Linked DNA regions of Callithrix jacchus. The protein of the gene in region 4 binds, or shares a complex with, the protein of the main gene of each other region. Links are inferred from orthologs where the notes say so. Each region holds a gene or a part of one and is shown on either strand. Other genes may lie near its edges.

Region 1 (5,103 bases), on a different chromosome or scaffold from region 4:
GGAAAAAACATGTGCATGCTCTATATGAGCCACAGTGGTCTAATACAAGGATTTGTAAATGTGTTAAGAAATAAATAGGAGTGCATAAACGACAACAACAAAATAGAAATTGCCCCACAGCAAAATATTATTCATGCATTAAGGAAGTTGAGTAAGTATTTTCCCTCTATCTTCTAAATATTTTTAATGCCTTTCATATTATCTTTATAATAAATATAAAAAGAAAATATTAGATGCCTATGAAACTTGTTAATACTACCACTTTTTTTGTTGTTTTGAGACAGATATTCTGTTGCCCAGGCTGGACTGCAGTGGTACGATCTTGGCTCACTGCAACCTCTACCTCCCGGGTTCAAGTGACTCTTGTGCCTCACCATGCCCAGCTAATTTTTGTATCTTTAGTAGAGAGGGGTTTTACTATGTTGGCCGGGCTGGTCTTGTATCCCCTGGCCTCAAGTGGTCTGTCCATCTATGAATCCCGAAGTGCTAAGATTACAGGTGTGAGCCACCACACCCAGCTAATACTACCACTTTATACAGTTCACCAAGAAAAAAAAAAATCCATAATAAATCCTCAAAACAGAGAAATGTTTACAAAACAGTGAAATGAAGGTTAAAAAAAATTATGACAGACTTACTACAAAGCAAAGACCTATCCCTAAATCTTCTTCCCTTCAAAACAAAGTTCTAAGATAGAAATGTCCACTATAGGATGTCAATCCAAAGACTCATTTATCCTCAAAGTCAAAGTACTTTGCTTTAGCCAACCTTGAACTGCATCTAATAATTATTATAAAGCCTGAGGGAGATTAGGTAATACTTTCAAATTGTCTTGAGTGCCTGTGACATGTAAAATTCACACCAAAAAATCTTTATTTAGATCACTAAAAAGTTGTAAAAAAAAAAAATACATGTATAAATAAAAATGTTAGGTATGGACTAAAATAGCTCACAAATTACCACACAAAAACATTTTAATTCAGAGGTAATCAACTATAACATTTTAACCAATTTCTTAAAAAGTTTACCATTTGTAAAAAATATTTGTAACTTCCAATATTCTTCTTCCGAGAGAAACTTTAAATCCTTTTGGCGCTCCTTCAACAGATCTTGTTTATCCAAAATCCATTGCAAACTAGAAAAGACATGTTACAGAAAATCAACAAGCAAAGTCAGAGAAAACACTCTGATTGAACAGGTTGTTCATATTCTGAGAAGCACAAAGTGCAAAAAGTAACCTTAAAGTCAATTAGGTGAATAATATCTCACTAATAAATGTAAATATGTACTGAAAAAACTTGCTCTAATCTTTTCCTTCTTCCTCCTTAGTCTTTCTGTTACAAACTTATATTTCATTGATTCTAAGACTCTGATACCAAAATATGTCTTACAATCTGTGATGCCTTTGTGTTGTAATTGGCAGCATGTTTTTTTGTTTGTTTTTGAACAGAGTTTCGCTCTTTTTGTCCAGGCAGGAGTGTAATGGCACGATCACCACTCACTGCAACCTCCGTCTCCTGGGTTTAAGTGATTCTCCTGCCTCGGCCTCCCGAGTAGCGGAGATTACAGGTGTGCACCACCAAGCCCAGCTATTTTTTTTTTTTTTGGCCAATCAATTTGAGCTTATGAGGTTGCTCCGGTTAGCCTTGAACTCATGACCTCGCCTTCGCAAGCGTCACGACCTCCGGCAGGAGCCCCTTTGGACCCCTATTTTTGTATTTTTTAGTAGAGATGGGGGTTTCTCTATGTTGGTCAGGCTAGTCTCAAACTCCCAACCTCAGGGGATCCGCCTGCCTCAGCCTCCCAAAGTGCAGGGATTACAAGCGTGAGCCATCATGCCCCGCTTGGCAGCATGTTTATTCTTTCTTAGTGATATAAGATAATGGTAGAATTATTTGGCACCAATTGATGGTGGCTTACGTTTGAAGTATATAGTTTTTCAGCTGTTCATAAGTAACTATGGCATTTAATTTCCTTATTTCACAAATCTAATTATATTAAAAACTGCCTCAGAATGTGTTACACTGATAGCCTCCTCCTCTTGCTTAGTCGAGTGTACTATTTTTAACTGGAGATATGAAATTGACATGACTCAAAGAAAAAACTATGCTGAACCTTGTCATTCAATACTTATTGGAAGTCTTATGTCAAGGAACTTGTTATTCAGCATTCTTTTACATAACTTTATGGATGGATCACTTAGCCAATCTTTACTGATGGAAATATAGGTTATCATTTTTTCTCTGTTACAAATATACTTTAATAAATATCATTGTAATTTTCCTTGCCCATTTGATTAATAATATATTTGAAATAACTTCCCAGAAGTCGAATTAATGGGTCAGTGTTGCTGGTAACTTATTGACACACATTGTCAGTTTACCCTCCAAAAACATTATACTGATTTCCATTTCTATTAACAGTTTATGAGTGAATCCTAAAATATTTAATCCTATTGGTTACTGCCAATTTTAAATACTTTGTAACTTAAAGGCAAAGTAGTATATCACTGTTTCTTTCCCCTGTAGTTAACTTTTGAGGTTAAACATCTTTTCCATATCTTCACTGTTCAAATGCAGTTCTTCTTTTATACAATGTTAATTCTAATAGGACCATTTTTCTAATGTGATTACTTATTTTTTTAATGATTAAGAGAGTCTTTTGATATAAAATTTGTATAGTATGGATAAGTCATTTGCTTGTCAAATAACTGTAAAATTTCTCCCAAGTTTAAATATCTCTCAGTATTTAATTATTTATAATAGAGAAAGCTGAATTACTTACTTAAATCTACCTGTCTTTTACTTTCATGTTTGTCAGGCATAAAAAGTCCTTCCCTGATTCCAAAATGATAAAAAACTATTCACCCATGTTTTCTAATACCCTTAGGGGCTTTTTTCCTTCAATTTATATGATCCATCTGGAATTTTGGTACAGAGTATAAAGTAAGGATCCAGCTAAACATTTTGTCAAATGATTATCCAAATGTGCTAAGGTATATCCTGATTTATAGTTCTATCATTATATATAATTTCCTATTTTTGTTTTTCTTGTTCATATGCTGTGCTATTTTAAAACACAGAAACTTAAGTAAGTAATTGCTGGTATGAAAAATACTCCCTTGCTACTATTCTTCTGAAATTTTCTGACTATCCTATTGCAATTGTTATTCTGAGACCTAAACTTTAGAAGCATTATGTCAAGTCCTAACAAAGAATATCCATTCAAATTTTGTGACTGAATTACATTTAAAGATCAACATAGGGAGAAATGACATCTTACCGAGAATTCAAAGTCTATTGAAATCTCTACGTGCCACAATGTTTTAAAGTTTTCTTCCTACAGCTTCTGTATATTTCCTCATATTTTTCCCTTTGTATTTTATATTTTCCGTTGCTAATGTAAATTATACTTTCCTATCAGTCTTTTTTTTTTTTTTTTTTTTTTGAGACGGAGTTTCGCTGTTGTTACCCAGACTGGAATGCAATGGCACGATCTCAGCTCACCGCAACCTCCGTGCCTCCTGGGTTAAAGCAATTCTCCTGCCTCAGCCTCCTAAGTACCTGGGACTACAGGTGTGTACCACCATGCCCAGCTAATTTTTGTATTTTTAGTGGAGATGGGGTTTCACCTTGTTGACCAGGATGGTCTCGATCTCTTGACCTCGTGATTCACCCGCCTCGGCCTCCCAAAGTGCTGGGATTATAGGCGTGAGCCACCACGACCAGCCCATTCATTTTTAAAAAGCTTTTATTTTTGCATTTTGTAACTGGTCACCTGATTAAACTTTTATTATTTTGAATAACTTTTCAATTAACTGAGTTTTCTCATAAATTTTATTTCCACATATTGATAATTTTGTTATTCTTTTGTCATTCTTTCTATATCTCATTTGTATCAACTGTATTGACTAGTATATTGGGAAAATCTTAAATAGGCACCCTAATTATCCCAATGTTTTACCACTGCTGATGCTTTGACATGTTTTTCATGTTAAGGAAGCATCCTATTTCTGTTTTAGTAAGAGCTTTAGTCAAGGATAAACGTTGAATTGTATTAGTTTTTTAATGCCTTCAATGTTTAATAGATTTCTTAGTACTGACTGTATTTCTATAATAAAATCCACTGTCATGTTTTATAATTTCAATGTAACATTAGACTGCATTTGGTAATAATTCATTTACAATGTTGACATCAATATTAAAAAGTGAAACTGTTTTTAGTGTTCCCTTTGCTAGATTTTTCTCTAGGTGTTTTCATGGCTTCATAAAGAGGATTAGAAAGCCTTTCTTCTTTCTGTATGAAATGGAACAATTTCAAAAGGAGAGTCTCCTGAAAGATGGAAAGTATTGACCCATGAAATAAGGCATAGATCTTGGGTAATATTCTTAACTTGCTTTGGCTTTCAAATTTAAAGTAGTGAAGATAACCCAAAAGTACCCCTGAGTTTATTTACTCTTCTCTACTAAAAATAAAAAAATTAGCCGGGTGTGGTAGCAGAAGCTTGTAGTCCCAGCTACTCAGGAGGCTGAGGCAGGAGAATTGATAAAACCTGGGAGGTGGAGGTTGCAGTGAGATGAGATTGCGCCACTGCACTCCAGCCTGGGGACAGAGTGAAACTTTGTCTCAAAAAAAAAAACAAACTTTTTTCCTTTTAATAGGTTAGCATCAGTGTTATCTATTTAAAGTCCTTCTTTCTGTTTCTTTAAGTTTATTTCATGTTTCCTTTTTAATATTCTTAAATAGAATATTTCTATTATCTCTCAGTTATTCAGGATATTGATTTTCTAATATATTCAGCTTTGGTTACATTCCATATATAATATTATGATGTTATTTTCTAGATATTAAGTAACTGTATTTTCAGTTTCCTTTTTCACACAATAAAGTATTCACAGTTTTAGTTTTTCATTCTGTTACTTGTTCATTAATGCATTCAAGCAACCAGCAAAGACTTAGTGCCCTTCTAGCTCATTTTGGTCAAACTGTGTTTTGTTCTACTTCAACTACATTGTGGTTTGCTAATTAATTTTACCTCCAGAGTCATTTTATGTTTTTAAACAGGTAAATGTCACAAATATTTTAAGAGTTTTCCTCGCAGAA
Region 2 (5,103 bases), on a different chromosome or scaffold from region 4:
TTTGAGCACAACTACATCCTGGGTAGCTGACAGATATAATTAAGCTCTAGCCAACCTAGCCTATAAATCAAAAGGAAAGCTCACAAAAAACCTTTGTCATAAAAGGAGAGCTGTCATAATCATTCTTGTCACTATAAATAAATTGGAATCACTGTAAAGTACTTAATGTATACTGTATCATATTACTCTCAGTTTACAGATAAGAAAACAAGCTCAGAAAATTAGAGCTTCCTCTAAGTCACAAAGCAGGTAAACGGTAGAGCAGAGCTGAGATTCAAACTTTAATAGGACTCACTATTGAACAGACTGGCTCAATAGTGACTTCTCAATCACTAGAGTGAATCGCACAGGCAAATCTACTTGACAGTTATGCCACAGAAGACTCAAATGTCATATGGTATTGGACTATACAGTTTACAAGTTCTTAATTCCCACCCTCTGATTCTAGAATTCTATGATGAAGACTTTATGAAGAATCTACATTACAATTTTATACATAAAATATTCAACACTAGGCCAGGTGTGGTGGCTCATGCCTGTAATCCCAACACTTTGGGAGGCTGAGGAAAGCAGATCGCTGAGTCCAAGGATTCCAGACCAGCCTGGGCAACAAAATAAAACCCCGTCTCTACTAAAAATACAAAAATTAGCCAGGCGTGGTGGCGCATGACTGCAATTCCAGCTACTTGGGAGGCTGAGGCAGGAGAATTGCTCGAACCTGGGAGTCAGAGGTTGCAATGAGTGGAGATCCCACCACTGTACTCTAACCTGGGTGAAAGAATGAGACTTTGTCTCAAAAAAGAAAAAAAGAAGCATCATAGTTTTTTTATATTTCTGCAAGAATCAGTATTTTTAAAGGTACCTTTCAGACACATCAGGATGTGGCTGAATGGGAAGTGAAGATGACTCTCCAGAAATCCCAGCTGTCTGTAGAGCTGATGGCTGTTGCCCTCCTAGCTGACCACTCTGAACTGTATTTGCTTGTGTAGACATGGATCCTGCAGCATTACTGTTCATACTGCCAAAGGGTGGAAATGAAGGTAGTTTATTTGATGATACTCCACTATTCAAGTTGGAGGATGATGAAGATGAAGTTGAAGCTGTAGTCAAAGTTGAATTAGCTGTGGCAACTGAAGTAGATATGGCAACACCTGAAGTCATTGTCATAGTAGTGCTCGCTGCAGATGCTAAGGTGGCAGATGGAGTATTAGCATTTCCAGTATTTGCCATCTGAGGTGGAGTAATCAAAGACTGACTTGTAGGGGCAACTAAATTTGGCTGGGAAAGTAGAGAGCTGTCCAATGGCAGAGAAGCAAGATAAGGACCTAAAGGATAAAAACAGGTAGGAAATTTAATTCTTTATTTCACTGACTTTTTTTTTTTTATTGTACTTTGTAAATAAAATAATCAAGTTGATATTTTCTTGGTAATTATAGCATCTGAATTGCTTGTTAATGGTATAATCTATACTTACTTTCTATTTTCCCTTAGAAACTGAAGAAACATATGTAAAATGGAATTTTCACTCAAAATTAAAGAAATGAAAGTTTAACAAATTCTTAGAATTTGCTAGAAAAGCTATCTAGAAATATTCATCAAACTATTCAAAGGGTTTCTAAATCACAAATCAAATAAATATTGACTACATTGGGAGCTAATAAAAATATAAAATGGTATAATGTTATTATGGGGTTCAAATTATTGGAATGTCTAATGAGATTCAATAGTTTGGTTCTGTATCTCCTTGGATTAAGTCTAAAGGAAGTCCACTGATATTTATTTCAAGAGTATTTATAAGCAATACAGTTGCACATGGGTAGAATGAAAGAAAAAAGTATAATCAGCAAGTCTTAAATAGCTGTCATTTTCTTAGCGTAACAAAGAACTATTTCTTGGTTTTGTACAGATTAACTATACATTATTTTATCTTTAAACTGTAACAAATCAACAATCTTAATGTTAATAAACCATCAGACCCTACAGAAGCAACAGAATATTTGTTTATAACCCACAATTTCTTCATACCTGATCAGATCCCTCATTAGGGATCAGCAAACTTTTTCTGCAAAGGGTCATATAATAGTATTTTTGTCTTTACAGCCACATAGACTCTATCACAACTACTAAGCTCCAATGTTGTAGCGCAAAAGCAGCCAGAGAAAATACATAAATAAATGAGGATGGTTGTGTTCCAATAAAATTTTATCTACAAAAACAGCTGGTGAACCAGGCCACACATTGCCAATGCTAGCCTTATACAGTAAATACAAACTCAATACCTAGATCGTATCTGCAGACTTGTGCATAAAGCTTGAGTTTAGAAAATGCTTCATTGTTACCATCAGCTGCCTGAGAAAACCATTCTGCTACCAACTTTTCTGATAGTTTCTTTGATGCAGTAGATCCAACTCTCATGATCCCATCTGTTAACAGTCGAGAAATAGGTCTATGTTGACCTAATCGACAGGACTACAAATATACATACAGAAAGCAGAATTAGTAAATTTTTTATAGTATTTTAGATACATATTATAAAACCAAGCATGAAAGCTATTTAAAATAAGCTTAACCATTTGCCATTCACAGTTGTGATAAAAATATCAAGGGTGTTTCTAGAAGTAGGGCAAAAAAATAAACATATCAAAGGAGAAATAGTACTATAGGTCTTTTTCATTTTTACATTAGAAATTCATTAAATTTTTTTCAAAATTAAAATATCTCTAATGAAAAAACAACTAGATAACACTAGAACCATTTGGTTTGAATAATAAAAGCTTGCAGAATGCAGAAATAAAGGAGCACAAAAATGCAGTCATTTTAGGTATACATTGACTCTAATTCATGTATTATAAATACACATATCCCTAAATCAAAGCAAAATAAAAATTGGTATATAAATATATTTATATACTCTCTCCCTCTAGTTCTATGAGCCACTGATTTTTGTTATAGGAAGCTAATGGTCTGATAAATTTGTAACATTGGATTAAGCAAATTTAGAAGACTTTTTTACTGTAAGAATTTCAAAACCTTTAATAATCTAATATGAATTATGACTCTCTAAAAGGTAATATAATATACAATGTCTCCCCAAGCCTTTGAACTTTTTTTCTGAGAGAATTTTTTTTTTTTTTTTAGGCAAAGTCTTGCTCTGTCACCTAGGCTGGAGTGCAATGGCATGATCTTGGCTCACTGCAACCTCTGCTTCCTGGGTTCAAGTGATTCTCCTGCTTCAGGCTCCCAAGTAGCTGGGATTACAGGCACCCGCTACCACACTCCACTAATTTTTATATTTTTTAGTACAGATGGGGATTCACCATATTGGTCAGACTAGTTCTGACCTCAGATGATCCACCTGCCACGGTCTCCCAAAATGCTGGGATTACAGGCATGAGCCACTGCGCCCAGCCTCTGAGAGAATTTAACCAGACTAATGTTCCGAATAACACCCTTTGGGAAATGTTTATTTATTAAAAACATACTACAGAGACCTTGTAATTATGTGGAAAATTTTATAAGGAAGCTAAACTAGCATATACTAACATTCGGAGTGTAAAATGCATCAAAATTTAAAGACTAAATTTCAAAGCCTTTGTGGGAAAAGGAGGGAATAATAAAGTAAGATTTTATGTACCATAACACTTAACAATTTACAATTATTATGCCTGGTGATGGATACGTGAGAATTATAACTTAAAAGAATAAGCAAGAATTTCAGACCTGAAATGGACCTTAGAGACAACTAGCATAGATTTTAAAAAATTTTTATTTATTTATTTATATTTAACGGAGTTTCACTCTTGTTGCCCAGGCTGAAGTGCAATGGCGTGGCCTTGGCTCACCGCAACTTCTGCCTCCGAGGTTCAAGCGATTCTCCTGACTCAGCCTCCCAAGTAGCTGGGATTATGGACATGCACCACCATGCCTGGCTAATTATGTATTTTTAGTAGAGACGGGGTTTCTCCATATTGGTCAGGCTGGTCTCAAACTCCTGACCTCAGGAGATCTGCCCATCTCGGCCTCCCAAAGTGCTGGGATTATAAGTGTGAGCCACTGTGCCTGGCCAAATTTATTTTGCATATGAGAAAAGTGAGGTCTAGTGTCACTACCTGAAATTCTAGAGAATAAAGACTAGAATTTTTATAAATGTAATTTTTTTCCTGGCTATTTACCATTGTTACCCTTTGTTTTAGAAAAGGTCACATTAAATGGGATATATATCTATATGCCCTCAATGTTTCTTCCTCCAATAGGGGTATAGCCACTCTGACCCACAACATACACATCTAACAAACTGGGTCAAACTCAGCAAAGAATGTAACTGGCTAGTATGAGAAATAAACATCTAATTTGACATCATCACTGTGTCCCAATCAACTAAATTTACCAGTATGCTGTATATATATAGCATATATATATATATATATATATATATATGCTATATATATACATATATATATCAATACAAATCATAAGGTAGTTTTAAAATGTCATCTCTTTTTAAACACCTACCTCATATATTGCAGTAAGATCTCTAAAAAAGCTTTTGGCTCCATTTAACAAGGCTTCATTCTCTGGACACAGTACAACATAGGCTATATCTCTTTGAGATCCATAGGGTTCCAGCATAAGTCTCTCCCAATAAGGAAGAGCAAATGGAGAAAGCACCAGATAATCATAATCATAACCCAACAAAAATGTGGGGATTGGCAGTGGTTCTGGGGATTCATCAGTTCCTAAATAAGAGAGATGTATTTTAAGAAACACTTAAAAACAAGACATGTCTCCTTTTTATTTAAATGTCAAAAGTTAATGAAGTCATTATTAGTGAAACTTTTTTATTAGAGACAAAAATACTTAATGCCAGTTGATCAAGACTTTTCAACAGCTAGGAATTTCCTGAACAAGTCTTTTTATTTATTTATTTTTTTGAGATAGGGTCTTGTTCTGTTGCCCAGACTAGACTGCAGTGGCACAATCATGCCTCACCACAGTGTCAACCTACCGGGCTCAAGCAATCCTCTGGCCTCGGCTTCCTGAGTAGCTGGGACTACAAGTGTGTGCCATTATGCTTGGCTAATTTTTAAAGTTTTTGTAGAGATG
Region 3 (4,428 bases), on a different chromosome or scaffold from region 4:
TTAAAATATCTGGAGACAACAGATGCTGGAAAGGATGTGGAGAAATAGGAACACTTTCCATTGTTGGTGGGAGTGCAAATTAGTGCAACCATTGTGGAAGACAGTGTGGCGATTCCTCAAGGACCTAGAAATAGAAATACCATTTGACCCAGCAATCCCATTACTGGGTATATACCTAAAGAATTATAAATTTTTCTATTACAAAGACACATGCACACATATGTTCACTGTGGCACTGTTTACACTCGCAAAGACCTAGAACCAACCCAAATGTCCATCAACAATAGACTGGATAAAGAAAATGTGGCACATATATACCACAGCCATAAAAAACAATGAGTTCGTGTCCTTCATACAGACATGGATGAAACTGGAAACCATCATTCTCAGCAAACTGACACAAGAACAGAAAACCAAACACCACATTATCACTTATAGGTGGGTGTTGAACAATTAGAATATGTGGACACAGGGAGGGGAGCATCACACATTGCGGTCAGTTGGGAGGGATAGGGGAGGGACAGTGTGGGGTGGGGAGGGATAACGAGGGGAGAAATACCAGATATAGGTGATAGGGGGATGAAGGCAGCAAACCATCTTGCCATGTATGTACCTATGCAACAATCCTGCATAATCTGCACATGTACCCCAGAACCTAAAGTACAATAAAAAAAAAAAAAAGTGACTCCCTCTGGGAAACTGCAAGAAGAGGAAGGTGAAGGGAAGAAATGGTTGCTTTGCATTTAAATCTTTTTATGCAACCTATTCTTAAAATCAGACAAGACTGTGGCAAATTTTTTCAATTATTAAAAAAAATATTTCATCTAATAGGAATGTGGGCCTTTGAAAAACCTATTCATTGTACTAGGTTTCAATTTAATTAGTCACTCAAGTATTATAAAATGCAGCTGGATTTACAGAAATAATTTCCTACCTATACTGATACCATATTTAAACTTAAAAAAAAGCATAGCATACAAAGTACAAATAAAAGTAAATTTATTTATAAAAATTACAATAATTACAAACTGTACAAATTGAGACAATTTCCCATTCCTCCAACAGAAGCCAAGAGCCTTTACTGTCAAATAAGTTTTTGTCATTTTTAAATGACACACAAAAATATGATCCCTATTTAGTTATCCACTGCCAGTTTAAAAATGCTTTTCTAAATAATTCCAGGAAGCCTATGAGTGATACATACATGGATCATTTCCCTCAACTCTATTTCCTTTGTGCTTTACTGTATTCATTAAATGTTTGATATGTTGTATTACCTTTGAAATCAGAAAAAAGATACATTGTCTAAAACTCATACATCAAGAAATAGTTGTATAAGCTTATTACTTAAACATAGAGGTTAACCACCAGAAATTAAAAGTGGTTAAAAGTGACTTCTGGGAAACTGCAAGAAGAGGAAGGTGACAAATCCAGCACAACTGGAATAGAACATGGTAAATAGCACTTAGCAACTGCTTTTTCTTTTCAACAGTAAATTTTGACTATTCCCCTAAATATCTTCCGAGGGGCTTAACACTAAAACTATAATCTTTGGCCTCAAAAAGAAAGCTCATTTTGACTTCTAATGGCTGCACAATTCTACCAAAGCCAGTGTTTACCTGGCTATTCTTTGCCATCTGTAGTTTATCTTCCCCTGCTACTGTTAAAGAAACAGAATTTGACACTATTCAATTCTGTATATTGTCTTTTACAGTTTTTTAATCAGACTCACTACTACTGCTTGAGGAGTCCGTTGACATAATCTCTACATCGTCTTCATTTTCTTTATTATGCCCAGGAGGTTCCAACAAAAAGTCACTACTATGATTTGGTGGTAACATATTCATTGCCATGTCATTTGACTGCCATGGATACTGAGGAGCAAGGACATCTGGAAGAAAAAAGGAAGCACAGATAAGAACAGCTCTATTCGTAATTAATCTAGTACTAACTTTTCCCTTTATACAATTTGAAGTACATATATTTTTTAATGTTACTTTTTTCTCTTCTTTTTTTGAGACAGGATCACCCAGGCTCGAGTGAAATGGCATGAACACAGCTTACTGTACCCCTAACCTAGGCTCAAGAAGTCCTCCTGCCTCAGCCTCCTGAGTAGCTGGGCTATAGGTACGTGCCACCATGTTTGGCTACTTTTTAAAGTTTTTGTAGCGATGAGGTCTCACTATGTTACCCAGGCTGGTCTCCAACTCCTGCGCTCAAGCTATCCTCCTACCTCAGCCTCCCAAAGTGTTGGGATTACAGGCATAAGCTATTGTGCCAATTATTTTAAGACTAGAAAAAAAAATACACATTTGGCCAAATTAGTAAAAATCAAATTCATCAAGATAAAGTATCATATTTTAGCAATTGGGAACCTTTTTTTAAAATCATACTACTCTGTAAGAAATTATTCAAATAGTCAGTTGACATGATTTTTCTTTTGTAAGACATTTACAATTACAAATGTTTCCTTTATCTGTGTATCCATTATATGAATATATAATACATAATTATGTATACTAGGTTATGTAGATTATTCTACATATTATAAACAGGTAATAGGTACTTCATTTAGTATTATTATACTAGGTTTGAATGATTTCTTAATAGAGGAATTGCTATTGTAAATGGCTCTCATCAAAGAGAGGCTGATTTCCAACATATGCATATAAAATACCTTACAAAAAAGTGCCCAATTCACATTAAAAGTCTGTATTTCTGAAGCAAAGAAACAGAGCACATAAACAGGTATAGTTCAAGACTCAAAGAAAGATTTTTAAGACTCAAAGGCAGATTTTTAAATTGTCAAAACAAAGTTACGGTGTTAACTAGAAAGGCATGCCAGTTAGCTTCAAATCTACCCTTTTCTCTGGCCCCTGAAACCATTTCTCCTTTGCCAGCTGCCACAATTAAGTTTTGTCAGTAGAGGGCACAGGTGAGACTCCACAGGCAAATAAGCTTGACTTCCTGGATCGGGTGTTTTTTTCCTTTACTGCTGTGATGCCTGGTTGGTGTGCAGAACATTAAGAGGTATTCATCACAGCAACTTTCAGTGGCGTCCCTAAAGGTGGTTTCCTAGCAGGTTTCACCACAATCCCAAAGGGCAGCTTCCCAGCAAGTCTCCCTGGAACCCTAGTGGGTAAGTTCCTGCTTGCCAGCTCTGGCCTCTGATGCCTCATCTAACTTCTCTGCCAGAGTGGGCCACAACTACACTACACCCTCTCCAATGACAGCACCATGATTTGAATAGCTTTGGGATGGGGCTGGGGAGGACCATTTTTAGGTCTGTCCCTTCCTTGGTCCAAAATGTAGCAGTGACTCCCCATACCTGTTTTTCCTGTACTTCCAAGAAATGAGAAACAAGAGATGATATCCAAAGATATCACAGTGAATTCCCCAGTTTGTATTTTAGGTAGGTAACAGAAATGATGCATACAAAACATTATTAATGACATAGGAACAGCCTTATGATGTAACATTAAGCAAATAATGTACAGGGAAAAAAGAAAACAAGCTAAATATTTAAAGTGACTGCCTCAGAAAGGGCAGGGTTTTTTTCCTTTTTTAAATGCCTTTTTCTACTTCCCAAATGTTCTACCACATCAAAACAAAGTCACCTACAAACTATAAAAGATGAGGACTAATATAAAATATATATAAAAACAGCACAAACCTATGAAAAACTTGAGGAAAACTGAAGCTCAGAATGAACTGGGTCTCACAGAAATACTATTTTATGAAGTTTTAAAAGTTTATAAAAAGCTATTGTTATTTTGTTAACTTAGGGGTTGTTCAGGAGTGTGTTCGCTTTATTCTGTAAACTATCTTACTCTGTTTACATAGCATGTTTCACAATGATAAAGAAGCTATGTTTAGAGCAATAATTTAAAAACAAAAGCCAAATGCTTGAGGAAGACAGTGTAATATTTACAAATAAGAGAGGTAGCTTGCTCTAATTTCATACTTCCCTCGAGGAGAATCTTTAGAGAGCAGAATAAACTGGCAAATAATCTAGCTACTACAGTGAACTGGGTCTGAGAGCCGAGTACATTGGCTCACACCTGCAATTCCAGCACTTTGGGAGGCCGAGGCGGGCGATCACTTGGGGTTAGGAGTTTGAGATTAGCCTGGCCAATAGGCCGAAATCCCGTCTCCACAAAAAATACAAAAATTAGCCAGGTGTGGTGGCACGAGCCTGTAATCCCAGCTACTGAGATAGCTAAGGCACAAGAATCACTGGAACCCAGGTGGACAAGAACCACTGGAACCACCTGGAACCCACTGGTGCACAAGACTGCACCAATGCACTCCAGTCTAGGCGACACAGGGAAACTGTCTCAAATTAAAAAAAAAAAAAAATTGCTGGGCACCAGTGGTGGCTCACACCTGTAATCCCACCACTTTGGGAGGCCGAGGTGGGCAGATCAC
Region 4 (5,582 bases):
TAATGATGCTGCTGGATAGAAATCTTATTTTAGGGAAAATTTCTTATATTCATGTATGTCTTGTAACTAGAAGGATAGTAAGAACAGAGTGAATATGGCCTTAACTTTAGGTTAAGCATACTGATAATTGGATTTTGGAGAGAAGCATTTAGGATAACTAGTATGAGTGCCTACTGTATATAAGCGCGATCATGTTTTCAAAGAGATACTCCTTCAGGAGGTTAAAAAATGTATATTCAGGAGACATTTAAGTGATGGAAAAACAGTTTGTGATTAGGGAGTTACAATGAATTGAGTGTTTTCAACTGCAGGTTCTGAAGTAAATTGGAATATGGAGTGATGTGAACCAAAATAGGGAGAATCTTCTTAAGCATTTATTCTAATCATAATTAATTATTTGTATAACTTTTAACAGTTGTTCTACCCTCTGAAAACTGAGTGCAGAAGCTATGTCTCATTTACTATGTGTTTATATACAATACTTGTCATAGTTATTTTCCATAAATTTTTGTTGACTAAATGGATCTTAAGAGCTTTTGAAGAATGGAACAGATAACCACTGTGTTGAATATTTTTGTGTCTTGTCTGTTCCTCACAACAATGTTGTAATATGAGAATGTATCCAATTTAAAAATGATAAATGCTACTTGAGTTAATAGAACTAGGATTAGGATCTAGACTTGTATAGCAGCTGAGCGCTTATTGCTCCATTACAATTAGCAAAACCTGGACAAAGCCATTTAGTCATGAGTGACTTTATAACTAGGTAAATATGAAGGAGTAGTGGAAAACAAGACAGAGGAAAAGAGAAAGATTAGAAGTATTAGTAGAATTTGAAGATCAAAGGAAAGTAAGAATCTGTGGTTAGACTGGTTGACTTAGAGACTGTCAATACAAATTAAACAGAGAAAACAGTTGCCTTTGAGTTCTGTAATTGAACAATGGCAGAGAAACCCAGTGCAAATGCTTATTAGAAATAGGAGGTTTGAGAGGTCAAGACTAGGTGAGAGAAATTGGTGGGGAGGATAGGCGTTTTTAATTTGGAGATGATAAGGAATTGCTGTTCTCAATCTTTAGAAGTACTTAAGGAGTACTTTTAGCGCACAAGAGTTTAAAACTTGAGTCTTGAACAAATATGTTTCTGATTACTTAAGGTGCTTTTCTGAGCAGCCTTTTCCCCACTATTTCTTTATGCTTGTAACTACTCCAGTTTCAGAAAAGGAATTATATACTTTGTACATGAATAATAAATTTTCATTTGACGCAATGCCATAGGTAGATATTTGCAAGTCAGATTTCCATCACTGCTCTTTTCCATCACTGTTCCCCAAAAGTCTTTACTTTTGGCTTATAATAAATATTGGCTAGTGTTCTCTTACCATTTTACTATCAAAAGAAAAGAAATATTATTTTTATTTCAACTGTTTCAACTGGGTTGATACCAAACTTAGTTTCTTTGCAGAATTAAAATGTTTAATTAACGTTATTAGTAACTGGCTTATTTTATCAGCAATTATTCCTTTCTGTTTTATTCCCTTACTCAGAGATTATGATTAAAGAAATTTATTGTTGTTGCTGTTATCAATAAAGTCCTTAAAATTGATAAGTCCTTCCTAACCTTGACATGTTTTCTTTGGCCTAAGCTTGCAGATCAGTTTTGTAATGCCATTGGAGTATTGCAGCAGTGTGGTCCTCCTGCGTCTTTTAGTAATATTCAGACAGCAATTAACAAAGACCAGCCAGCTAATCCTACAGAAGGTAAACTGGTTTTCTTAGCTTCTCTTTGACTCTCACATTTATTGTAATCCTTTCAAATTAGATTTATTGAGCAATTCGGCTTATTTTGTTTCCAAAAATTATGCTTAATTCCCAATTTGAGCTAAATGTGTAATAGGATTTGTGTATATTTTAATCATTAGAATCCTAGTGCAGAAAAAGCTATGTGAAGTTTCCAGTTTCACTAACTTAAAATTTGTTCTGAAAACTTGAGGTTTTCTAATGACCTGATCTAGCATTATCTTTCTCTAGAGTATGCCCAGCTTTTTGCAGCACTGATTGCACGAACAGCAAAAGACATTGATGTTTTGATAGATTCCCTACCCAGTGAAGAGTCTACAGCTGCTTTACAGGTAAGTCTTTATTCCTTTGAGAATTTTACCAGTAATAGAGAATTTTGAATTAAAGGAGCAAGGTTTAATACCTTTTGTCTGTGTCCATTTGTGCTGCTGTAACAGAATACCTGAGACAATAATTTATAAAGAACAGAAATTTATTTTCTCACAGTTTCTGTAGGCTGGGAGGTCCAAGATCAAGACATTTATTACTCATTGTGCATGAGTAAGACATTTTTATTTAACACAGTGCTATGTTTAGGGCCATGTTTAAGGCCATGTTGAGGGCCTTCTTTCTATTTCCTCACATGGCAGAAGGCAGAAGGACAAAAGAGCAAGAATTCCCTCTTCAACCTCAAGCCATTTTATGAGGGCACTAATTCTATGAGAGCTTTGCCTTCATGACTTAATATCCTCTTAAAGGCCCTTTCCTTCTTAATACCTTCACATTGGGGATTAGATTTTAACGTATGAATTTTGGAGGGGACACATAACGTATGAATTTTGGAGGGGACACATTCAAATCATAGCACCTTTTGTTATAATATTCAATTTTCCATTATAAGGAAACCTCTTATTTCCTCAATTGTGTCTCTTTTCCTAGTGAAGAATGAGAGGAGGGTGGCATTCTAGATGTGGAGTAGAACAATGGTGCCCAAATGTAGTGTGGAAGGGAGTCACTTACAGATATCTAGAGATTTCTAATTGAAAATTCATTCTTTTTAATAATTCAAATGAGGAAAATTCTTAGAAGTTATCTGATTTTTAGAATTTCTTTGCTGAAAAACACAATAATTGCAAAGTCATCCAGATTTAAAAATAAGTACCTCTGTGACAGCTTCCCTCGTTAACTCTAAAGATTTCAAAATTTCTGTCTTATAAAGGCTGCTAGCTTATATAAGCTAGAAGAAGAAAACCATGAAGCTGCTACATGTCTGGAAGATGTTGTTTATCGAGGAGACATGCTTCTGGAAAAGATACAAAGTGCGCTTGCTGATATTGCACAGTCACAGCTGAAGACAAGAAGTGGTACCCATAGCCAGTCTATTCCAGACTCGTAGCACCAGTGGATACCATGTGGCTGAGAAAAGAACTGTTTCAGTGCCATTAAGAATTCTGCATCAGACTTAGATAACAAGCCTTACCAACAGTTACAGAAGCATTCAACACTATGACACATGTTCCCTTTTTAGCTATTTTTAATAGTCTTCTGTTTTCACTCGTGATAAATAAGCTTATAAAATAATGATTGAACCAGCTTTAAACCGTCATACCATCATTTTTTAACTGAAATTATTAAGGCAGATGATGCATTAATAAACATAAGTAAACATATATAAAATTCTATTGTGACATGATTCATGTCTTTATTTTGTTGTCTTGGCCAGTACTTTTACAAATCAAAACATTTCTCAAGCCAGAGAAGAAGGTAGTAAGAACAGACATAAGGGACATTTTAGTTTAGGCTAGCATCCTGCCTCTTAGAGGTGGCATTGTGTAAATTTGAGCTTTGAGCAAGAAAGTTTTGGAAATTGTATTGCTTTTAAATAGAGTTAGTGTGGCTGGATAAGTAAGTCACATTTATGCAAATGTTTCTTCTTTCAGAACTTCATACCTGTTCTAGTTCATCTACACATTCTACCAAGAAATCCTCTGTCAGAATTTTCCTGCTATTGTGAAAGAATTCACCTTGTATTTTTCATCCTTCTCCTTAATTTGCTTGCATCACAGTGAAGTATGTTTTTGAATCGTCAGTTCTTTCTCAGTCTCTTTATTTATCTAAAGTTTCTTTCTTTTGCCCTTTATTAATCTCTCAACTTTTATTGCTGTATTCTAGTCAGACCCGAACATACTTTCAATACATCAGTTACTGGGCTCTATTTCACCTCAAGTTATTATTGCTAACATTTGTATCAGCATTTTCAACTATGGTTACTCATCCAACCCTTGGATCTCTTTTAGTCTAGTGATTTTCTCCACTGGAAAGGTGGAATTAAAATGTATTCACATTTTAACTGGCCATTTCCTTGGGCTATATTTTTCAGAATATCCTGAGCTACATTTGCTGTAATCTTGCTATTCAGAGTTTAAGTTTCCAGAGAAACCAAAAATACAACACTGCCTGTTATTTTTGTCATAATCAAGCTTTTCCACAGTTCTTGAAAAGTACTGTGTTTCAAATTTCAGGAACACCAGTGTTAGCTATAAAATTCGTAACAGTTTATTGGCTTGTCACAGAAAGTTTTTGAACTTTTAACTGTATTTTCATTGATGTTTATTAAAAACATTTTGCTATCACAGTTATTGTCCATAAATCTGTACTCTTCATTGTAGTTTTTGGAGGAGAGAAGATTTGATCAGAAAACTGATTTTCAAAGTACTTAAGTGTTATAAAGGAGTCAAGAAGGTACAAATAGAAAATGTCAGGCCGGGCATGGTGGCTCATGCCTATAATCCCAGGACTTTGGGAGGCTGAGGCGCGTGAATCAGGAGGTCAAGAGATCTAGACCATCCTGGTCAACAAGGTGAAACCCTGTCTCTACTAAAAATACAAAAAATTAGCTGGGCATGGTGGCGTGCGCCTATAGTCCCAGCTACTCAGGAGGCTGAGGCAGGAGAATTGCCTGAACCCAGGAGGCAGAGGTTGTGGTGAGCCGAGATCGAGCCATTGCACTCCAGCCTGGGTAATGAGCGAAACTCCGTCTCAAAAAATTTCACAACCTCTCAGAATAAAACATAATAAAATAGTAACCCTAAATTTTATTTTATTAATACATTGATAATTAAATGTTAATGATCTAAGCTGATTTAAATCTCAAAACTGGATAAGAAGCTGTGGCTCTTATAAGGAAAGACTTTTATTCATTAGACCTATAATTTGGTTTCTTCATATGTAAATTAAGAAGAGTTTAATAACCTGCTTCTGTATTTCAGTTCTAGGGGCACCAGTTCAGTTAACTAGCCCTAAAGATGTCTGTAAGTGAAACCATTTTGATTACTACTTGCTCTGCTGTCAATTATCGTAACCAATCTCTGTTTCTGGATGCTAAATCCTTTCACTTGTGCCTTAACCATCCTAACTCCCATAATCTCCATTGAATTTAAGGAACCAGTTTCTTTTTTTTGAGATGGAGTTTTGCTCTTGTTCAGGCTGGAGTGCAGTGGTGTGATCTTGGCTCACTGCAAACCCCGCCTCCTGGGTTCAAGCGATTCTCCTGCCTCAGCCTCCCGAGTAGCTGGGATTACAGGTATGCGCCACCACACCCCACTAATTTTGTATTTTAAGTAGAGATGGTGTTCTCCACATTGGTCAGGCTGATCTCGAAAGCTCGACCTCAGGTGATCTGCCTGCCTCAGCCTCCCAAACTGCTGAGATTACAAGCATGAGCCACCATGCCCAGGAGTCAATTTCAGTGGGAGTATCTTTTACTATCATTCTTAACCTATGATAATAGCCAGTAGAGCCTTTCA
Region 5 (5,202 bases), on a different chromosome or scaffold from region 4:
AGGTACAGAGGACACCTTCCAAATCTCTAAAAAGATCAGGATTTTTTAAATTCTGTGCATCTGCAAAGCAACTGGTATTTCTGAAACCCCTTCTTTGATTTTGGATTGTAGAACCTAACCTCACCACTGAAGGGAAGCACAGTACCTCTAATCCAGCCTGTTTAATTAAGGCAGTTTTGTTTCATTTATTAAAAAACAGACTCCTGAGCACTAGAGGCAGTTCGTTTTACAGCTAACTCAACATGCTTTACTTGGGATGAGGCAGGTGGCAGAGAGGGGCTAGAGAGACTATATCACCTAGTGGTGGGAAGAACTCCAACCTGGGAGTCAGTCACACTGATTCTACCACTTACTAGCTGTGTAACCATAGGCAAGTTAAGTTAGTCACCCTATCCAAACCACAGTTTTGTCTTTTATAAACAAGGTTCTGAGAATTCAAGGAAGCACTTAACATAGCACCTGGTTTGTGGTACCCCCCCAATTCAGTGTTCGCTTTCCCAAGTGAGCACAAGTATTTGAGGCTCCTCATCTTTGTTCTAAAGTCAAGAGACCAATTAGTAATTAACCACTAGTTGTTGTGCCGTGATTAGGTCAAGCGAGGTCACAGTGATTCTTAAAGCCACCCTGCAAAACATGTATACAGGTATTTCCTTTCCTGCAGAATTTAAGAACCTTTATGTAGTTCCTTCCTGGTGATTTAAACAAGTCACTGACTCCGCTACTCTCACTACATAGGTAAGAGTGGTAGAGTAGTTGATCTGAGAAACAGGTTCCAGGAGATGGCCTTGCCCTACTATATGTCAGGAAGAGCTAGCCTTAGAATTCAGTATACTTAGTGACCCACCCCTACCCCATGCCCCAATGCCTTCTTTATTTGGTCTAAAGCACCTAACTTTTCCATTATTAATCAGCTGATTATACTAAATGCTTAAAAAAGAAACACCTTAAAATCCATATGGAAATCAAAGTAGAACACTTCAGGTTTAACAGTGATAGTCTATTAACAATAAAAAGTTAGTTTGATTAAAAAGCATACTAACAGTTCTAGATGCTACCATAATAAAGCTAGATAGGAAGAGTTTTCATTTTTTTTGTCTTCACTGTACATAAGAAATACATTTTTTATATATATATATATATATATATATCTTCAGAGCCTCGTCTGTATCCAGTTTTTCATTTCCCCGATGTGTTATTTTGCTGTTGCTGCTCTGCCAAGGCTTGCTGAAGGCGCATCCGCTTCCGGGAATAGTGCTGCCAGTGTAGAATCTGCTGTTCATCAATAAATTTCGCACACTGGGCATTCACCAGCTCCTTTCGGAAGTGTTCATACTGGAGCAGCTCTAACATGTGTAAACACTGAGGGTACCTGGGTTTAAGTTTATAAGTGAATGAACAACATAATTTAAGTAGTAAATAATGCCAAGGTCTAATTCAGTTATTCTCTTAAAAATGATCTTGTAGCCTACCATTTCTATAACATTAACTTAGTACACTCTAGTAGCATAGGGTTTTTCCCCTGCATAGTCATCAAAAGTCAGTGTTCAGCAAAATTTTCAAGTGAGAAGGTTTAAGTTCAGAAAGATTAAATTAACTTGCTCAAGACTACAGAACACAGTAACTGGTAAGCAGAGTGAAAATTTAGGGACAAACCATGCTATTCCCTTCTAGTGCTTTCCAAGGTGAAGAACATGAACATATTTTAGTAATTATGTGTTTAATTGATAGTTACTGGTTTTTCCATCAATAGTGATAAAAACACAATTTCAGTTTGAAAGAGGACTATGCATATACGTTGTACTCTTGTCCACAGGGGTATACCAATTCTGAAATTAGGTATACTCTAGGATTGGACAAGTAAATATACTGTGGATATGGAGAGCCAAATTTCTGGCTACCAGAAAAGGACTTATAGACAAGTAAAGGAAAAAGGCTAGAACGAACCCTGTGTTACCGAGCTGGTATTGAAAACAACATGTACTTAGGGCTTTTAATATATAGAGACATAGACAGATATATATGTGTGTGCATGTATACACATACATACATATATAGAGTTCTTGAGCTTTGTGTACTGAGAGGGCCTAGAAGCAATGACACTGTGGTACTAATGAACACACAGTGCCCCGTTTCCAAGGAGCAGGTTTCCTTGGAGAAAAGTCTGATTCAGGGATAAGACAGGGAAAGGACAAGATGAGCCTGGAACATTACGTAATGCTAGAAGAAAAAGTGCTAAAAATTCTTGGGAGGATCAAAAGTATTCAGGAGCCAACTTGAAGGGACTCCTAATGGCCAAATCTGGAATACTCAGAGCTTGAAAATACATAATTAAAATTCACAGAATAAAAATAAGAATCCAAAAGTCCATACTAAATGGATGCAAATTTCTTTAATAAAAGAATAAATAAAAAACAAGAAAAAGTACTTCCCTACAATCGAATTCCAAACTAATAAATGGAGAATGAAAGATTTAGAAAATCACAATGAAAACTGTTTCCTCAAAAGCAAGTATCTTCAAATGATGCTAAAATTAATGGGCAAAAATATATGTAATATATTTACATAGTCTCAAAGGATTTCCCCATAAGATACATTTTAAATATACAAGGAAAAATAGTAACTTGATATGGAGAAACCTAGAAGGTACCACCCTCAACCAAGTTATCAAAATTAATATCACCAGTTGTGGAACAAATAGACTTCATGTGACTGTAGATATATGACAGATACAAAATCATTTCTGTCATAGTCATGGCAAAGAAAAGACCACTGAGATTAAAGGAGACTAAGAAAACATGACAATAAATGCAACATGCAGGCCTAGACTGGATCCTGTACTGCATACAGCACACCAGCTGGACAACTGGCAAAATCTGACCTCTGTAGATTAGGTAATAAATTCATATTAATGTTCTGATTTTTGCTGATTGTATTGTTAAACATCTGGAATATCTGGATGAAGAAAATACAAGAATTCTCTTTATTATTTTTTCAGGTATTTTGTAAGTAAAATTATTTCAAGTTGAAAATATATAAAAGCATTTAAAAGAGACAAAATACATTGAAATATAGGAAGTATGCAGATAAAGCCAAAGTTGTAGAAGTGATATGCAAATGACTAGTTTGGAAAATAGGATGCTAGAGCAATGCTTCTCAAACTTTAATGTGTGTATGAATCACTTCTTAAAATGCAGACTGACTCCTTAGGTCTGCAGTGGGGCATGAGCTCTGCATTTCTAAAAATCTCCCAAATGCAACCAATGCTACTGATCTGAACACCACACTGAATAGAGGGCTTAGTACCATGCTTCGAAGAGAGTAACTTCCAAGGCAGTAAAGGTTTGCTATCTACACACTAAAAGTACACAATTGCTCTAATTGCTGGCTGCTTATGCTAGAATGCTCTATTCACACCTGCCCTGGCTAATTCCCTTTCATGACAGCACCAGTAGTTAAAAGGACCAGGATTTAAGGTCCAGCCTGGTAGCCTTTAACAAGGTACTTAACCTCTCTAAAGTTCAGCTAGCTTCTTCAGCTGTAAAATAATGTGACAACCAAGTCTCAAATAGCATTTGGTCAATAACTAGAATTTAGACAGGCAGCGTTTATATCAGAATGTATTAGACGACAATAAAGAATCATACTCTGGATAGGCTACAAGTCAACAAGATGAAACAGAAGCAGTAGAAAAGGAAAGTTCTGCATTTGGTGTTTTAAAAAATAAACAAGATAGGGAGAACCCAACAGCATTGATGAAAGTAAGAACTGAAGGATTTCAGTTGACATTAATGCACCCAGCAAGTCAACAATGTGATCCTCTCCCCACCCCACCCCAAGAGTAATATAAACGTTAAGTTTAATTAATAGAGGTGTATGTCCACATAAAGAAAAGAAAGAACCTCTGACCCACTGTACTCTGACCACATCTGAAGGCCTGTGTTTAGTTCTTGGCTGAACTGCATAAGGTACAACTGCCAAATATCCAAAGGAGGGAACCTGAATTCATGAGAAGTCTGGGCACCATGGCACAATGGCTGAAGGGAGTTGAGAAAAAGAGACATAAGAGAGGTGTTATAGTGGCAGCTACTGGTTAGCAATGAACCAAGCCAAGTGGTAGAAAGTCTCTTCCACCAGGTGGAAAGCAGCTAGTAGTGGCAGCTGCTCTCAGCATCAGCCAGTTGTTGATTGGAAGAATTAAGATCTATGGTTGCTAAATCTTCCAGATTTTAAAGAGTTGCTGGAAATCTGCATTTATTAAATAAAACTTTCTGATCTTTAAATATTGGCAAGCATTAAAAAAAAAAACTAAAATCTTGGGCAGACTAAATAAAATGCCCAAAATGGGCTAATTTGCAATCTCTCTTGAATGTAAATATCTAAAAGGCTGTTGTCCCCAAGAGGGTATAGAATGGTTCTAGCTTAATCCAGGGACAGATTGAAGCTACAAGGAAGTATATTATATCACAATATAAGGAAGAACTTTATAACTTCTGGCTAACAATCGAATCAGCTGTCCTTGACAGAGTCACATGGGATCAATGGAAACTTCCAAACGGAGTGTAGATGACCATCTCTCAGCAACACTATGGATAAAATTAAACTTACGGATGGCTAAGGCTTCCAACACAGAGTCTGTAAATCTACATACATACAACATTTGTTGAAATATACTTTTTTAAAAGTCTTTTCTTTGGATTATTAAATGGATAAAAAGCCAGAAAAGATACAAACGGTCCTGCAGGCAACACAAGATGTATATGCTTCATGAGTCAACTGTTACTGCATACAGAAAAGTGACTTCAAGACAAATTTGAAACATTTCCTCTCAAATTTTTGTCTTAAAAAAAAAAGTTCACTACTGCTTTCTGACTACCTGCTTAAAACAAAGCAGAGGTGTGAGTTCAAGGTGTAGTTTTTTGTTTTTTTTTACCATTAAAAGGGAATTGCTTTCTGGTTATAATACACTTCTTGCAACTTAGTAAGCTTTAACAGGAAAGTGTCTGCTGAACAACCTGAATGGTAAACATATATATACACATAAATGAGTAAATGCATGTGAAGTATTTAGCACTGTTCTTGACACAGAACAGGACTTAAAGAAAAGATAGCAGTTCTAAGATTCAGGTAAGACTCCTCCCAACAACCCCAAACACCTTCCTTACAGATACTCTCTTTTTGTGTTCTTAATTTCAGCCCATGGCT

Evidence for each region. Proteins that work in one complex are often made in the same cells at the same time.
Region 1: MED21 (region 4) and CCNC share a complex: the UniProt entries of both Homo sapiens proteins name them as parts of the mediator complex. The link is inferred for Callithrix jacchus from reciprocal best matches to the Homo sapiens genes MED21 and CCNC.
Region 2: MED21 (region 4) and MED13 share a complex: the UniProt entries of both Homo sapiens proteins name them as parts of the mediator complex. The link is inferred for Callithrix jacchus from reciprocal best matches to the Homo sapiens genes MED21 and MED13.
Region 3: MED21 (region 4) and MED4 share a complex: the UniProt entries of both Homo sapiens proteins name them as parts of the mediator complex. The link is inferred for Callithrix jacchus from reciprocal best matches to the Homo sapiens genes MED21 and MED4.
Region 5: MED21 (region 4) and MED31 share a complex: the UniProt entries of both Homo sapiens proteins name them as parts of the mediator complex. The link is inferred for Callithrix jacchus from reciprocal best matches to the Homo sapiens genes MED21 and MED31.

The regions. Positions count from the first base shown.
Region 1 is NC_133505.1:105,604,002-105,609,104, forward strand, and holds part of CCNC (cyclin-C), read right to left. Parts: intron 1,136-5,103; coding exon 1,029-1,135; intron 1-1,028. UniProt on the Homo sapiens protein: Component of the Mediator complex, a coactivator involved in regulated gene transcription of nearly all RNA polymerase II-dependent genes.
Region 2 is NC_133506.1:94,834,346-94,839,448, reverse strand, and holds part of MED13 (mediator of RNA polymerase II transcription subunit 13), read right to left. Parts: intron 4,737-5,103; coding exon 4,513-4,736; intron 2,470-4,512; coding exon 2,280-2,469; intron 1,326-2,279; coding exon 863-1,325; intron 1-862. UniProt on the Homo sapiens protein: Component of the Mediator complex, a coactivator involved in the regulated transcription of nearly all RNA polymerase II-dependent genes.
Region 3 is NC_133502.1:67,860,496-67,864,923, reverse strand, and holds the end of MED4 (mediator of RNA polymerase II transcription subunit 4), read right to left. Parts: intron 1,892-4,428; coding exon 1,719-1,891; 3' UTR 983-1,718; downstream 1-982. UniProt on the Homo sapiens protein: Component of the Mediator complex, a coactivator involved in the regulated transcription of nearly all RNA polymerase II-dependent genes.
Region 4 is NC_133510.1:44,216,892-44,222,473, reverse strand, and holds the end of MED21 (mediator of RNA polymerase II transcription subunit 21), read left to right. Parts: intron 1-1,643; coding exon 1,644-1,758; intron 1,759-2,028; coding exon 2,029-2,129; intron 2,130-2,995; coding exon 2,996-3,172; 3' UTR 3,173-4,411; downstream 4,412-5,582. UniProt on the Homo sapiens protein: Component of the Mediator complex, a coactivator involved in the regulated transcription of nearly all RNA polymerase II-dependent genes.
Region 5 is NC_133506.1:108,206,401-108,211,602, forward strand, and holds the end of MED31 (mediator of RNA polymerase II transcription subunit 31), read right to left. Parts: intron 1,370-5,202; coding exon 1,177-1,369; 3' UTR 983-1,176; downstream 1-982. UniProt on the Homo sapiens protein: Component of the Mediator complex, a coactivator involved in the regulated transcription of nearly all RNA polymerase II-dependent genes.